3 linked regions of the Oryzias latipes genome follow. The protein of the gene in region 1 binds, or shares a complex with, the protein of each later gene. Links are inferred from orthologs where the notes say so. Each region holds a gene or a part of one and is shown on either strand. Other genes may lie near its edges. The genes, in order: nup205, nup188 and nup107.

What was found.
Region 2: nup205 (region 1) and nup188 share a complex: the UniProt entries of both Homo sapiens proteins name them as parts of the nuclear pore complex. The link is inferred for Oryzias latipes from reciprocal best matches to the Homo sapiens genes NUP205 and NUP188.
Region 3: the proteins of nup205 (region 1) and nup107 are in contact, whole or in part, in a cryo-EM structure (PDB 7WB4), measured with the Xenopus laevis proteins. The link is inferred for Oryzias latipes from reciprocal best matches to the Homo sapiens genes NUP205 and NUP107. Residues at the interface, in XP_041443600.1 of Xenopus laevis: Gly1247, Gln1248, Arg1249, Pro1250, Ser1458, Arg1506, Gln1507, Leu1983, His1991, Gln1995; in NP_001091312.1 of Xenopus laevis: Gln134, Glu136, Pro189, Tyr282, Tyr283, Gln770, Ser772, Phe773, Thr774.

Annotation. Positions count from the first base shown.
Region 1 is NC_019864.2:29,315,387-29,319,628, forward strand, and holds the start of nup205 (nuclear pore complex protein Nup205), read left to right. Parts: upstream 1-1,706; 5' UTR 1,707-1,782; coding exon 1,783-1,810; intron 1,811-3,679; coding exon 3,680-3,822; intron 3,823-4,000; coding exon 4,001-4,172; intron 4,173-4,242. Other genes in the region: agk (acylglycerol kinase, mitochondrial), read right to left, coding at 102-171, 248-342, 427-552, 646-721, 805-884, 960-999, 1,088-1,197. UniProt on the Homo sapiens protein: Plays a role in the nuclear pore complex (NPC) assembly and/or maintenance. May anchor NUP62 and other nucleoporins, but not NUP153 and TPR, to the NPC.
Region 2 is NC_019870.2:8,138,757-8,142,898, forward strand, and holds part of nup188 (nucleoporin NUP188 homolog), read left to right. Parts: intron 1-141; coding exon 142-261; intron 262-344; coding exon 345-556; intron 557-1,056; coding exon 1,057-1,171; intron 1,172-1,259; coding exon 1,260-1,460; intron 1,461-3,924; coding exon 3,925-4,005; intron 4,006-4,084; coding exon 4,085-4,142. UniProt on the Homo sapiens protein: Component of the nuclear pore complex (NPC), a complex required for the trafficking across the nuclear envelope. Required for proper protein transport into the nucleus.
Region 3 is NC_019881.2:22,230,478-22,234,674, forward strand, and holds the start of nup107 (nuclear pore complex protein Nup107), read right to left. Parts: upstream 2,973-4,197; 5' UTR 2,878-2,972; coding exon 2,870-2,877; intron 1,183-2,869; coding exon 1,103-1,182; intron 1,004-1,102; coding exon 908-1,003; intron 839-907; coding exon 744-838; intron 666-743; coding exon 530-665; intron 270-529; coding exon 166-269; intron 93-165; coding exon 1-92. UniProt on the Homo sapiens protein: Plays a role in the nuclear pore complex (NPC) assembly and/or maintenance. Required for the assembly of peripheral proteins into the NPC. May anchor NUP62 to the NPC. Involved in nephrogenesis.

The sequences.
Region 1 (4,242 bases):
GTAAACTCACAGGGGTTTTTTGTAGGAAATATGAATGCTAAAAAGTAACTTATGCATTAAAATGTACATGTTTTTAACAGGAAAAAAAAATATTTTATTACTTTGATTTGCAGCACATCCAGAGGTACAGTTTCTCCTCTCAGAATCGACAGTGTGGCTGAAGTAATGTCCCTAAAAAGTATGTTTATCACATCAAATACAAGTTCATTTTAAACATTTTAAAAAGAGATTTTTGTTTTCAACTTACTTAACTTTGTTGTCGCTGAGGAGATGAAGACTCGGACTCAGGGAATTGTGAGAACCCAGAGGAATGTACCCAATCGGGACGTTACTAAAACTATCCTGCAGTCAGAAAACATATCTCAGTTTGCATCTTATAAATAAACCTAAAAACATTTATGTAATTACATTATTAGTTTTGCATACTTGATCCGGCCTTCTCAGCAAACCTGTGATGACCTCCTGCAAGGTGCCATCTCCTCCAGCCACGATCAGCATGTCTGTCTGCTCCAACAACTCCATCAGTTTTTTGGCCTGACCTTCATAATCTGTCTGTGGAGGACATGATATGACATTCAGCAAGGCATGATGGGATATTTGAGGATTTCTACCTACCAAAGCCATGTTTACAAAATTCCATCAAACCTTCACTATTTTTATCTCCACACCGGCCAGGTGTAAAATTGGAGCTGCATTCTTTTCGAATAATTTGTTGGCTTTCCTGGAGAAAATTATAACAAATAAATGCATAATTAGTAGGAGGGAAAGGAAGAAATCAGATTTGCATTTTTGACGTCTTCTTACCCGCTGCAAGCTGCAGGATTTAAAATTACAGTTGCTTTCTTTAGTTGCTCCTGTGGGGCAATCTGTTGCCGTCCAAATTCCTAGAATAGCAATAATTATTAGAGGCATACTCACATGAAATAATAATAATAAAAGGACAGTTAGTTCACATTTACCCTGGCCAACTGACAAGCTTCTCTGCGCAGGAGACTGTCGCTAGAAACACATAAAACACAGAATAAAGAAAGAGCTACACACGTGAACCCAGTTTGGATGACATTTTCAAAGATAAATAAAAACTCACCAATGTTTACCATACAACCAATACCCCCCATAGGACAGGACGCACACAGCTAAAGTGGACTTTTTCCAGTGATTCCGTATCGTCTTAAATACTTCTACAACCCGAGCCATGATTATTAATCCCCACAAAAAAACAGTCTACCTCTGTCACATACTCAAAATGCAAAGATTCTGACGATTTAAAGTGTTTTTGTGACAGCGGTCAAAACTCACACTGCGTGGAAGGAGTGGTGTAACAATACAATCGTTCCGTCTAAAACAAGGCGGAAATAATATCTACACATCTAAAGCGGTCGCTTTTTAAATAAAAAATATGAGCTTATTTTTGCATATTACCATTAACTATTAATTAAACAATACAAGTTCACAAAATATGAATATATGTAAGATGTTTTCCTTGATTTCATTTTTGAAATTGTAGTGTTCACACACTTCATTATATACTACAACTCCCACAGGGCACGGTTGCCCAAATCTTTCCGAGGACCCCGCCTGCACTAATAGTACAATCCTATTTTAAAATATTTAATGAATATTTTACAGGAAAAAAATGTGTTTGATTACATAAATTTTAAATGATGAGTGACATAATCAACAAATTAAAAATATATCTTCTGGATTAAACAATTTATCGTGTTAGATTTCAAACGGGCACATGCGCAGCATCTTACGTCCAGGTTTGATCCTGAGCTGATCATGGCGGGGCAGATGGCGGTAAATTTAGGTAAAGACTCTTTTTGAACCTTTGATTACAAATGTGTTTGTTTTAATTATTATTTAGGTGTAGGTTCGTGTAACCTTGTCCGGCGTTTCTGTTGTAGCGCGTTTTTACCCGTTTGAGTCATTCCAAGTATGGCACTGTTTGCTACTTTAGCCTAGCTTCGTTCATCATCATGTCAGGCCAAAGGAAGCTAGTTTGACTCAGGTTCTAGTCAAGTTAAGACAGATCGAGGCCATAAGACAGACTTGTGGCGACCGGGAATGTTCAGTTAATTAAAGTTATAAGAAAATGACAATAATTAAAGTCCATCAATTAAAAAATTCAGTCCAATATTGCGACTTAATTCAATTTGTATTCATGTGAAAATAAACGTCTCATGGATGGATTATATGCCAAAATATGCTGGCAAATTAGTTATGTTCATAATCTCTAAACTAATAAGTTTAAACTCTTGCTATGCATTGAAAAAGGTTTATCAGTTTTTCTGCTCATCAAAATATATAAATATTCAAGTGATCATTCATTATTAATTCTAAATATTAGATAAAGACTCTTGCATTATGGAAACTGAAAGATTCAGGGCAGATAGTTGATAAAATTAGTCATTTTCTCTTCAAACTAAAGCTTTGAGAAGCAAGTGGCTTTTTCTGAAGACCTATATGTTCTGTAAAAAGAAAAGTCTGAGACCGTGACATGTATGTAAGGTTTGTGTTAAAATGAGAGATTCAAGAATGAAATTAATCTGATTGGGCAGGAAGATGTTTGTTTTATTAAACTTGTTATGTTTTTTTAAATCCTACATTAGGGGTGTGTATCTTTTTCTCTGACATGATTTGATACGCTTCTCAATACATGGTCCAGCCCAATACTTTTACCCAAATGGATACAATCTAGATATATTTTACGCTTTTGGCGTTTAAAACCGTAAATTAAAATGTCTTTTAACAGAGAAACGGTTTTTCCCTAACTGGGAATTTTATTTTAAGGGAGAAAAAATCTAAATGTCTTTGATGTAGCAAGTTTAAACATTCTTTTATACTGTTTTTTTTTCTGTGTCTCATTTTAATTTGTTCAGGCATCATTTAAAGGGGAAAAAGGGTTTATCCTATGTTTAGTGCAAACACCTGGCATGCCTTGCTGGGGCCAGTTGGAATAAAGCCAAACTTTATCAGAGAAACAAAGTTTACCTGAAACGGATCATTTACTTCCTGATCGAATTGATCGACTTTTTACCATCTTAATCGTGTTCTTAGCTGTGGTTTTGTGATCCTCTGGGTTTTTTTTTTCATCCCTTTTTTTTTTTTTAACGAAGATTTACTGTCATGATCTCTGAAGGGAGCAGGTAAAAGGAAAAAGATGGATTTTCTGAGGTTGTCTCTGCTGGAGGTTTCCGCCTACTTTTCCCCTAAGAGCAGGCTTTCCTCTCCACGGTTGAAACCCTTTAAATAGTGTGTGTTGGCCACTCATTTAGGCTGCCATTAAAATTCTAACAGGACAAATAGACTTTTTTCAACATAATCAGGATTAAATTGGATGGAAATCAAATCAAACTGTATTTATTAAAAAGCGCTTCTCATACATTGCGGAACTCAAAGTGCTTTAAAATTTATGATTTGGAATTACTTTGATTTGTTTTGTCCTTTATTTTTTGACTAAATATCAAGACTTTTTTTTTTCTTCTGACCACCATATCAAGCAAATGAAGCCCAAACGTGGACATTATTCCTGCTCAATCTGGGTTGTTCCTGCATCTTAGTTTGTGGGGGTGACAGTTTAGGAGGGTGTTGATATGGAGAGAACTCAAACATCTCGTCAGTAGAGTGAAAAATAATTGTGAAAATATCTGTGTAAACGTCCTTTTGACCCCTTCAGGAGCCAGTCTGTGGGGGCCACTCAAAGAGCTCTGGGAGACTGTAGATGGAGCTATCCTGAGGAGACAGACGGAGAGTGTCCACCTGTTGGACCTGCAGCTGAAAAAGCACAAACCACACTTTCTCTCACTCTTCAGGAACCCGGTGAGATAACCTGCTAACATTTCTTTATCGTATGCCCTAAAAGCAGGTTGTTATTTTAAATAAGAACATGTTCTTAATAGCTTACTTGGTTAAATAAAGGTTATATTTAAATAAAAAAGCCCAGTGTGAGTTCTAAGACACCTTTTCGTTTTTTTTTTGTCTTTTCATTCTTTCTTAGCCAAAAAGTACAGACCAAAAAGAGAAGGTACGCAAAGCCAGCACAGAAGGCATCGCCATCCAGGGTCAGCAGGGGTCGCGGCTCCTTCCCGAGCAGCTTCTGACGGAGGCCTTCATCCTCAGCGATCTCTTTGACATTGGGGAGATGGCAGCCTTGGAGCTTCTCTTGACAGGTAGTTTGACTTTGAAAAAAAATAAAAGAAGAAGAAATTACCTGAGAGCAAACCTGTAAATACAAGCTTT
Region 2 (4,142 bases), on another chromosome or scaffold:
GTTTGGTTGTGGAACTTCTTTTATTGTGTGGATTTCAAGTCCAGATGCCATGATTCGACTTTAAGATGTCACCTGGATGAGTGAGAGCCTTCATGGACGACGTCTGTTATTGAATCAGCTCTTGTGTTTGTTTCTGTCAAGGCTGAGTACAGTAACTGTGTCAACAAACTGGAGAAGGACTTGGTAGGCAACTGCCAGTCACAGTTTGAGGCTTTGTTCAAAGCTGAAGCACCAACCTGGGAAACTCATGGAAACCTGATGGTAATGACACGCATGAGTGTGTTCAGGTGTTAATCAGCTGCTTTCAGGCTGCAGGATTCAGTCTCCATTTTGCTTCTTACTAGACGGAAAGACAGGTGTCACGATGGTTCCTGCGCTGCCTGAAAGAACAGTCTCTGCTGCTGGAGATAATCTTTCTGCACCACGCGTACTTCGAGATGAGTCCTTCTGATCTTCTGAGTTTTACCAAAATGTTCAAAGAACAAGGCTTTGGTTTGAGACAAACCAACAGACACCTGGTGGATAAGAGCATGGATGCACTTGTTGACCGGATTGGGTAAGTGTAAAAGAGGTCAGGTAGTATTTTTGACTTTTTTTTCTTTGAGGATTTTTGAGTTCTTAGACCTAATCTTAATATTTTAGTTATAAATGTGGTTTAAACTTGAATTACTTTAAATTTACTGGTATAGATGACTTTTTTAGCACGTAATCTTTCATAATCATCAGTCAAAAGACTCTTCTGTTTATGTCAGGGTGAGTGACAAAGGTCACATGAGGATGTATGTATGTAAACATTTATCCAAAGTAACTTGACAGACAAAACAAGCTAATAATGACATAACCTTAAACAAAAACTAATCCTATCAGTCAGTGGTCCTGCTAATGGAGGCGCTGCTCTGGACCACCCAAGCAGTTTATTCCTGTCTGTGTTAAAGAACCGACCAATTTATGCTTTTTTTTTTAAATCAATTTATTTTATATATTTCTACACCAGTTTAATAGATTATTTGTGAATACTTTTCTAGGCAGACAAACGTGTGTGTTTCTGTCTCTCAGGTATTTAAGCTGCCTCATCCTGGTTGAAGGAATGGACGTAGACTTCCTGCACAAGTGTGCTCTGGAGGATTGTACTCAGCAGCACCAGTTCTCCAGTGCACCCAACATCATTAAGGTTTGATGTTAAAGTGCCCCGCATTGAATGTCCATCAAAAGCTGTGAGAAAGAAAGAAAAAGAAAAAAAAAAAATGCTTCTGCTTCAGGAAATGGATCAGCTTCTGCTGACGTTTGGTGACATCCCTCATCACGGGCCTGTGCTGTTAGCCTGGGTCCTGCTAAGACACACGCTGAGGCCGGACGAGTCCAGCCCCGTGGTCAGGAGGATCGGCCACACAGCCCTGCAGCTGGAGGTGTTCAAGTACCTGTCCAGCATGCTGAAAGGCCTCGGAGTCTTGGGGAATAATGTATGTAAACAATAATATGCACATATTTGAGATGGAAAAGGATAAAGTAGTCTCACTCTTATGAATCTTAAGGAAATAAAAATATTTTTTGTCTACATGTAAAAATATCAGATTACAATATTAAACTTAATTTCATCTTTTATATGTATTTACATAAAGACCGGTTTCTTTTGGTGAGCTTTATTTTTATTTATGAGCACAGAACAACTAGTATGGGATCAAATCCGGATCTGCTTAAAGTGAAGGAAACCCAGATTGTAAAACTTTAAAAATAGATGTCAAAAAAGTCAAAAGTTTTAAACTTAAAAGTACGCATTCCATCCATCCATCTTCCTCCGCTTATCCGGGACCGGGTCGCGGGGGCAGCAGACTGAGCAGAGATGCCCAGACTTCCCTCACCCCAGCCACTTCCTCCAGCTCCTCTGGGGGGACCCCGAGGCGTTCCCAGGCCAGCCGAGAGACGTAGTCTCTCCAGCGTGTCCTGGGTCTTCCCCGGGGCCTCCACCCAGTGGGACATGCCCGGAACACCTCTCCAGGGAGGCGTCCAGGGGGCATCCGGACTAGATGCCCGAGCCACCTCAGCTGGCTCCTTTCGATGTGGAGGAGAAGCGGTTCTACTCCGAGCTCCCCGCGGGTGACCGAGCTTCTCACCCTATCTCTAAGGGAGCGCCCAGCCACCCTACGGAGGAAGCTCATTTCAGCCGCTTGTATTCGGGACCTCGTTCTTTCGGTCATGACCCATAGCTCATGACCATAGGTGAGTATTGGAACGTAGATCGACCGGTAAATTGAGAGCTTTGCTTTTCGGCTCAGCTCTCTCTTCACCACAACGGACCGATAGAGCGACCGCATAACTACGGACGCCGCTCCGATCCGCCTGTCAATCTCACGCTCCGATCTTCCCTCACTCGTGAACAAGACCCCAAGATATTTAAACTCCTCCACCTGGGGCAAGGACACTCCACCGACCGAGAGATGGCAAACTACCTTTCTCCGGTCAAGGACCATGGCCTCAGATTTAACGGTGCTGACCCTCATCCCAGCCGCTTCACACTCGGCCGCAAACCGCCCCAATGCACGCTGGAGGTCCCGGTTCGATGAAGCCAACAGGACAACATCATCTGCAAAAAGCAGAGAGGAAATCCTGTGGTCCCCAAACCAGATCCCTTCCGGCCCCTGGCTGCCCCTAGAAATTCTGTCCATAAAAACAATGAACAGAACCGGTGATAAAGGGCAGCCCTGCCGGAGTCCAACGTGGACCGGGAACAGGTCTGACTTACTGCCGGCTATGCGAACCAAGCTCCTACTCCGGTCATACAGAGACCGGACAGCCCTCAGTAAGGCTCCCCGGACCCCATACTCCCAGAGCACCCCCCACAGGATGCCACGGGGGACGCGGTCGAACGCCTTCTCCAAATCCACAAAACACATATGGACTGGATGAGCGAACTCCCACAATCCCTCCAGCACCCTAGATAGGGTGTAGAGCTGGTCCACTGTTCCACGACCAGGACGGAAACCGCACTGTTGTTCCTGAATCCGAGGTTCGACTATCGGACGCACCAAAAGTACGCATTGAAAATTTGAAAGAAATATTTATGATTTCAATAAATAATTGTAAATTTTAAGCAAAAGTGTTTTCTAAATTTTCTTAACTTAAAATGTGAAAAAAGTATATTTGAAACTTGAATTAACAAAAACTATAAACTTATATACTGTACAGTTTATAGCACTGTTTACTATAAACTGTTACCAAAGGAAAATAATATTTATTTGCAACAGCTGCTATTTTGTACTTCCAATGTTTTTTTGTTTTCTTAGTTCTCCATTTACAGTTGTAATTCAGATTTTTCGCTTTTGGTATTGGCCCCCTAGTTCTATGTGGGGGGAGTGGAGCTTTAAGTCCATTATCTTCTGGGACATGATGGACATCAGATCAGACATCAGACATAGTCTGATAGAGGTTTGGTGACATCATTTCCCCTCCCAAACAGCGTTTGTTCTTGGTCACTCCTCTAATGCTGCGTACAGTTTTGAGAACGCCCTCTCAAAGTTTGGCACCAATTTGTTTTTTAAGTTTACAATGTGCCCCTTTCCAGTTTAGATCTGTTTTAAAATAAAAAAAATAATGTACAATCTTTTTTTTTCACTTTGAGATGATTTGACCCCATAAACTTGTACAAACAAAATCATTTGAATAAATTGGAACAATTTAAAAGAAATCTTATGGCAGAAAGAGGTTTGATCTGCTTTCATTTTCTCACAACCTTTACATTTCTCTACTTTTATAGAACTGTTTATTGTGATAAGTTTGTCTGCTTGTGCAAATAACAAATAGAAAATCTAAATAACGGTTCATTTCTGGGAAAATCTTTCTCCATCAAGGTCTCCCATGGTTTAAAATGCATGACTTGTTTACAGGAGCGTTTCAATAAATGTTATTTTTTTGTCTTTTGCTCTTCAGTGTACAGCAAGTACAGCAAGGATGTGCATCTACGGCCTCCTGTCATTTGTTATCACTTCATTTGAGGAGGAAAGCTTACAGGTATAACCTAAATTCATAGACATATATGAACATCTGTGACCCGCGTCTGTGACTGAACTGTCCGCTGTGCGCTTTACAGATTGATGGCGTGTCAACTCAGTCCTCCCAGCTGATTGATGCTGCCTGTGAGGTTCTTT
Region 3 (4,197 bases), on another chromosome or scaffold:
CAGGTACAGTTCTCCTGCTGCAGCAGCCAGCGGACTCCTGCTGTTTTACTGTTCTGACCGGCTCTCAGAACCACAGACTGGAGAACGTTCACCTAAAACATGACGCAGAGCCGCTCAGCGTGACGTCCAGAACCTGATCTGCTCAAAGGCATCGCTCTACTCTACCTTCTCCTGGCAGAGGCTCTGATAATCCTCCAACAGGTCAAACACCGCAGAGGAAGAGTGCTTCAGAAAGGAGGCAAGGAATTCTGGGAAAAGACTTGCAGCTGCTGCAGAGAAAGCAAAGTCAGGAGAGGTTGGTTATTAAAAAATGATACGCTTTCTTCTTTAGAGGGAAATGTACCTGGAGATGCTGCTCAAACAACAATGAGGCTTTTTCGTTTCTCATCAATTATTCAGTCTTTTACTGTCATCACATCATAATTTCACATCAGGTTTAAAAACACATTTTAGGACAAGCTTCGAGCAGCGAATTTGACACCCGATTGGCGTGTGATGTGAAGGCATGAAAGTGGTTTGTTTTCCTCACCTGCATCTCCTGGATCGTCCTCCTTGAGCAGGGCTGAGCTCAGGTTGGCAGCATCGTCTTTGAAGAAGCTGGTGTTCTCCAGTCCAGACACGGGCGAGGTGTAAAAGCTGTTGGTCCAATCGCTGTCGTCCAAATTCTAGATACGCAATGGACGGGTTTGAGTTACAGACTGCAGCTGATCCCGGCTGTCCCTGCACATTAATCAGGGTCTCACCAGACTGCTGAGCGCGTTTCTGGGCGTGTGCATGAATCGAGGCGTTCGACCTCCAGGAACCAAAAGAGAAGAAGTGGCTGGAACCCTGGGGGTGACTGAGAGGCAGAGACATGAGGTAGGAATAGCTCAAAGCCTCAGATCTGACATGAATGTGAGCATCTCACCGGCCTGCCTGAACAACGAGGCAGGAGTGTTGATCAGGTGGGGGCGGGCTGGTGTTGCAGCAGAAGCGATGGGGCTGCCACCACTGGGTGACGGGACTGAGGCCAAGAGTCAGGAGAAACAAAGAAACTGTCCCGACATATAACTGTACACACAGACGCACAGAAACACACACAGCTACTGAAGCTGGAGGATACAAGCCACTTTCTTCCTCCTCCTGGCTGCGACCGTCACCTCCTCCTCTCGAACCACCGGAGACGGAAGCTCATTCTGACCCCTGGAGGTCAGAGAGATCAAAACAGAAACATACATTATCTTACTTGAAAAGCCAATTTTCTCCTAGTTTCATTTCAATGTGAATCAGGAACAGACGAAAAAGCGCCAAATGAAAAAGATAATAAATATCATGTAGCAAATATGCCGTTTGGGGCCACAAGTTCCATTCTGATGCATCCAATGCAAGAGAATGCAAGAGATCACATCACTCCTGTGTTGGTTTCGCTCCATTGGCTCCCAGTTGATTATAGAATCAAGTTCAAGATCCTCCTGTTAACCTATAAGGCCTTACATGGAATGGCCCCGTCCTAAATCAAAGATCTCATAGTTCCTTACCACCCAATCAGAACACTTCGTTCGCAAAACGCAGGACTGCTTGTGGTTCCTAGAATTAGTAAAAGTACGGTTGGAGGTAGAGCGTTTAGCCACCAAGCCCCTGTCTTATGGAATAAACTCCCAGCTCATGGAAGAGAGGCCGACTCAGTTTCTACAGTCAAAGTTAGACTTAAAACATTCCTCTTTGGACAGGCTTATTGTCAGACTAGTTAGTATTCAGAGATTATTTAACTTAATGTTAATTTGTTTAAATTAAACTTAATAACTTTCTTTTAAAAGGCTGCTAGAAGTTGAAGCTGGGGTAACTATGGTGCACTGGGGTTCTGTCCTCTTTTCTCTTCTACTTCTACCCTTCCTCTCCTCTATTCTTGATCATTATTCATCATTTAGTTCTCCATGCCTCTGTTTGGTGCAGTGTGATTCATGTATTGTCACTCTTTTCCTCTCCCCTCCTGGGGAGTGGGAGTGCTTCCAGACTCCAGTTGGATCATCCGTGCTCCAATTGCTGACCGTCTACCTCGCCTTTGCTCCTGCTCCTACACCTGGCTGTGGATCCTGCCTCTGACTCGACTCGCGCCTTTGACTGTCCCCCCAACCACGGCTGGATGAAGCTCGTCTGCTGGACTTTAAATGTGTAGTTGTAGATTTAGATAAGTAAATTCTTCTCTAAGAGTTCTGGTAAATCGCCTGTCCGTCCTGGGGGAGGATCCCTCCTTCATGTGGACACCCCTGAGGTTTCTTCGTTTTTCCGGAATCCGTTTTTATGGGAGTTTTCCCCTTAAAATTGAATTGAATTGAATTTAATCCATTTGCCGACAAAAATTGATCCATGAACGTTTTTGTTTTCCACGTCTGAGCTGGAATCTGGATCAAAACTGTACAACTGAGAGATCTCAAATATGGGTGACGGGAAGGGGGTGGGGTTAGGTGTAACTCAGGTGTACTAATCATTAGTACACCTGAGTTGAGGGAGTTTAATTAACTCCTGCCGCTCTGCAGAAGAACATACTACTACTAGTATAACTGTGTCCAAGAACGACAAGTGTTTGTCTTTTGGCTAAAAAAACAGCACAATCAAAAAAATAAAAACACTGGGAACGCTTTGAAAATAGATCAGAATTTAACCTAAGTGGGTCTTTAAACCTATCATTCATTATTTTTGACTAAACAGACGTCATGACATTCAGCTGACTGATTAGCTTGATGCTAGCATCGTTTGCTAATCTGACTCTTGTAACGTTTCCCGGAGACAACAAAAACGCAAAAACTGACCGATCGAACCGTACAAATGTGAACGTATCAGTGTTTCACAGCTGGTCACATTAATGACACAAAAATTTAAAATGTTTTACCAGTCCATGCTGGAGCCGATTCCCGCTCCGATATGTTTTCTTCTTCTCTGGTCTTTTACTTCTTCGCCTCTTCTCACGAATCTGCCTTTGAATTTAAGGTAAATCTGTCAGGCCTGTCAGCTGACTGCTGCCCCCTAGAGTTCACCATTAGATTACATCTATTTTTGAGAGGACGAAATAAAAAAGACAATATAAATATTAATTTAAATATTAATTAAGCATATACATATCTTTTAATTTTCACTTTTCTTTCAGTAATCCTATTATTTGTAATTTTGTGTATCAATTTGCCTTTTTGTGTTTTTTAGATTTATTCATTTAGTTAAATAGATATTCAGATCCACTATTTGATTAAAAAAGTTCACATTTGTGTAATTGTGTCATATTTACATTTTAAGTGATTATTCAGTCATTCATTTCTTTGGCCTGTTCAGCTGCTGAAAGACAGAGTTCCTTGTGTGTTGTACAGATTTTATGTTACAAAAGGTTTTCTTAAACACTCCAAACTGTTTAAACTTGTATTTTAATAGCTGATGTTATTTGAACTTCCATCCAGAGAACAGAATGACAAAGAACACATTAACCATATGATATGATGCATTTGATCTAAATCAAATCAAATAGTTGTCCTGCATTTTTTTTAAATGACTTTAAAGTTGTGCCTAATTTTGATATTAAATAAACAGGAAGTTTTTAGAAAAAAGGGTCTTTTTTAACAAGAGTGAACATTGTAATGTCAGGAAGGAAAATGTTTCAATACGTCTGATTTCAAAGATTGTGTATTATTTGAAAATTCCGTTTAAAAAAACATGTTGAAAAATATTTTTATACATTAAGATACACTTTATGTTCCCTACATAGAAGTTGAATTGTGTCGGATAAACGCTTTTAAAAGGATGTATTAGGAGTTTTTTCCCTTGTCAATTCCCGGCTGTGGTCGGAGTGAGACGTCTTTCCTAATAGACCATCTTTGTGCTCTGCCCTCCGCTCCGTTAGCTGCCGCTGTTGCGTGATCGATTCACGCAGCTCAGCTAAAGCAGGAACACCGGACGCTTCGTGGTCCGGTTAAAAGGAGATCTCCGCCGTTCAGAGAACCGGAAAAGGAGATTCTCACGGTCAGCAGCGGGTCCTGGTCACCTAAGAGGCCGGATCGACCCCCGCCGGCGGATCCCCAGCGCTGCCAGAGGGTCTGTTTGACCCGGGGGAAGATGGAGACCCCAGGTAAACTTTTCCCACTGCGTGGCAGGATTGGAGGCGACGGCCGCACAGAGAGGTCATTCATCAGATGGTCGCAGATTTGAACCTGGACCCCGCAGATCAGACTCTGG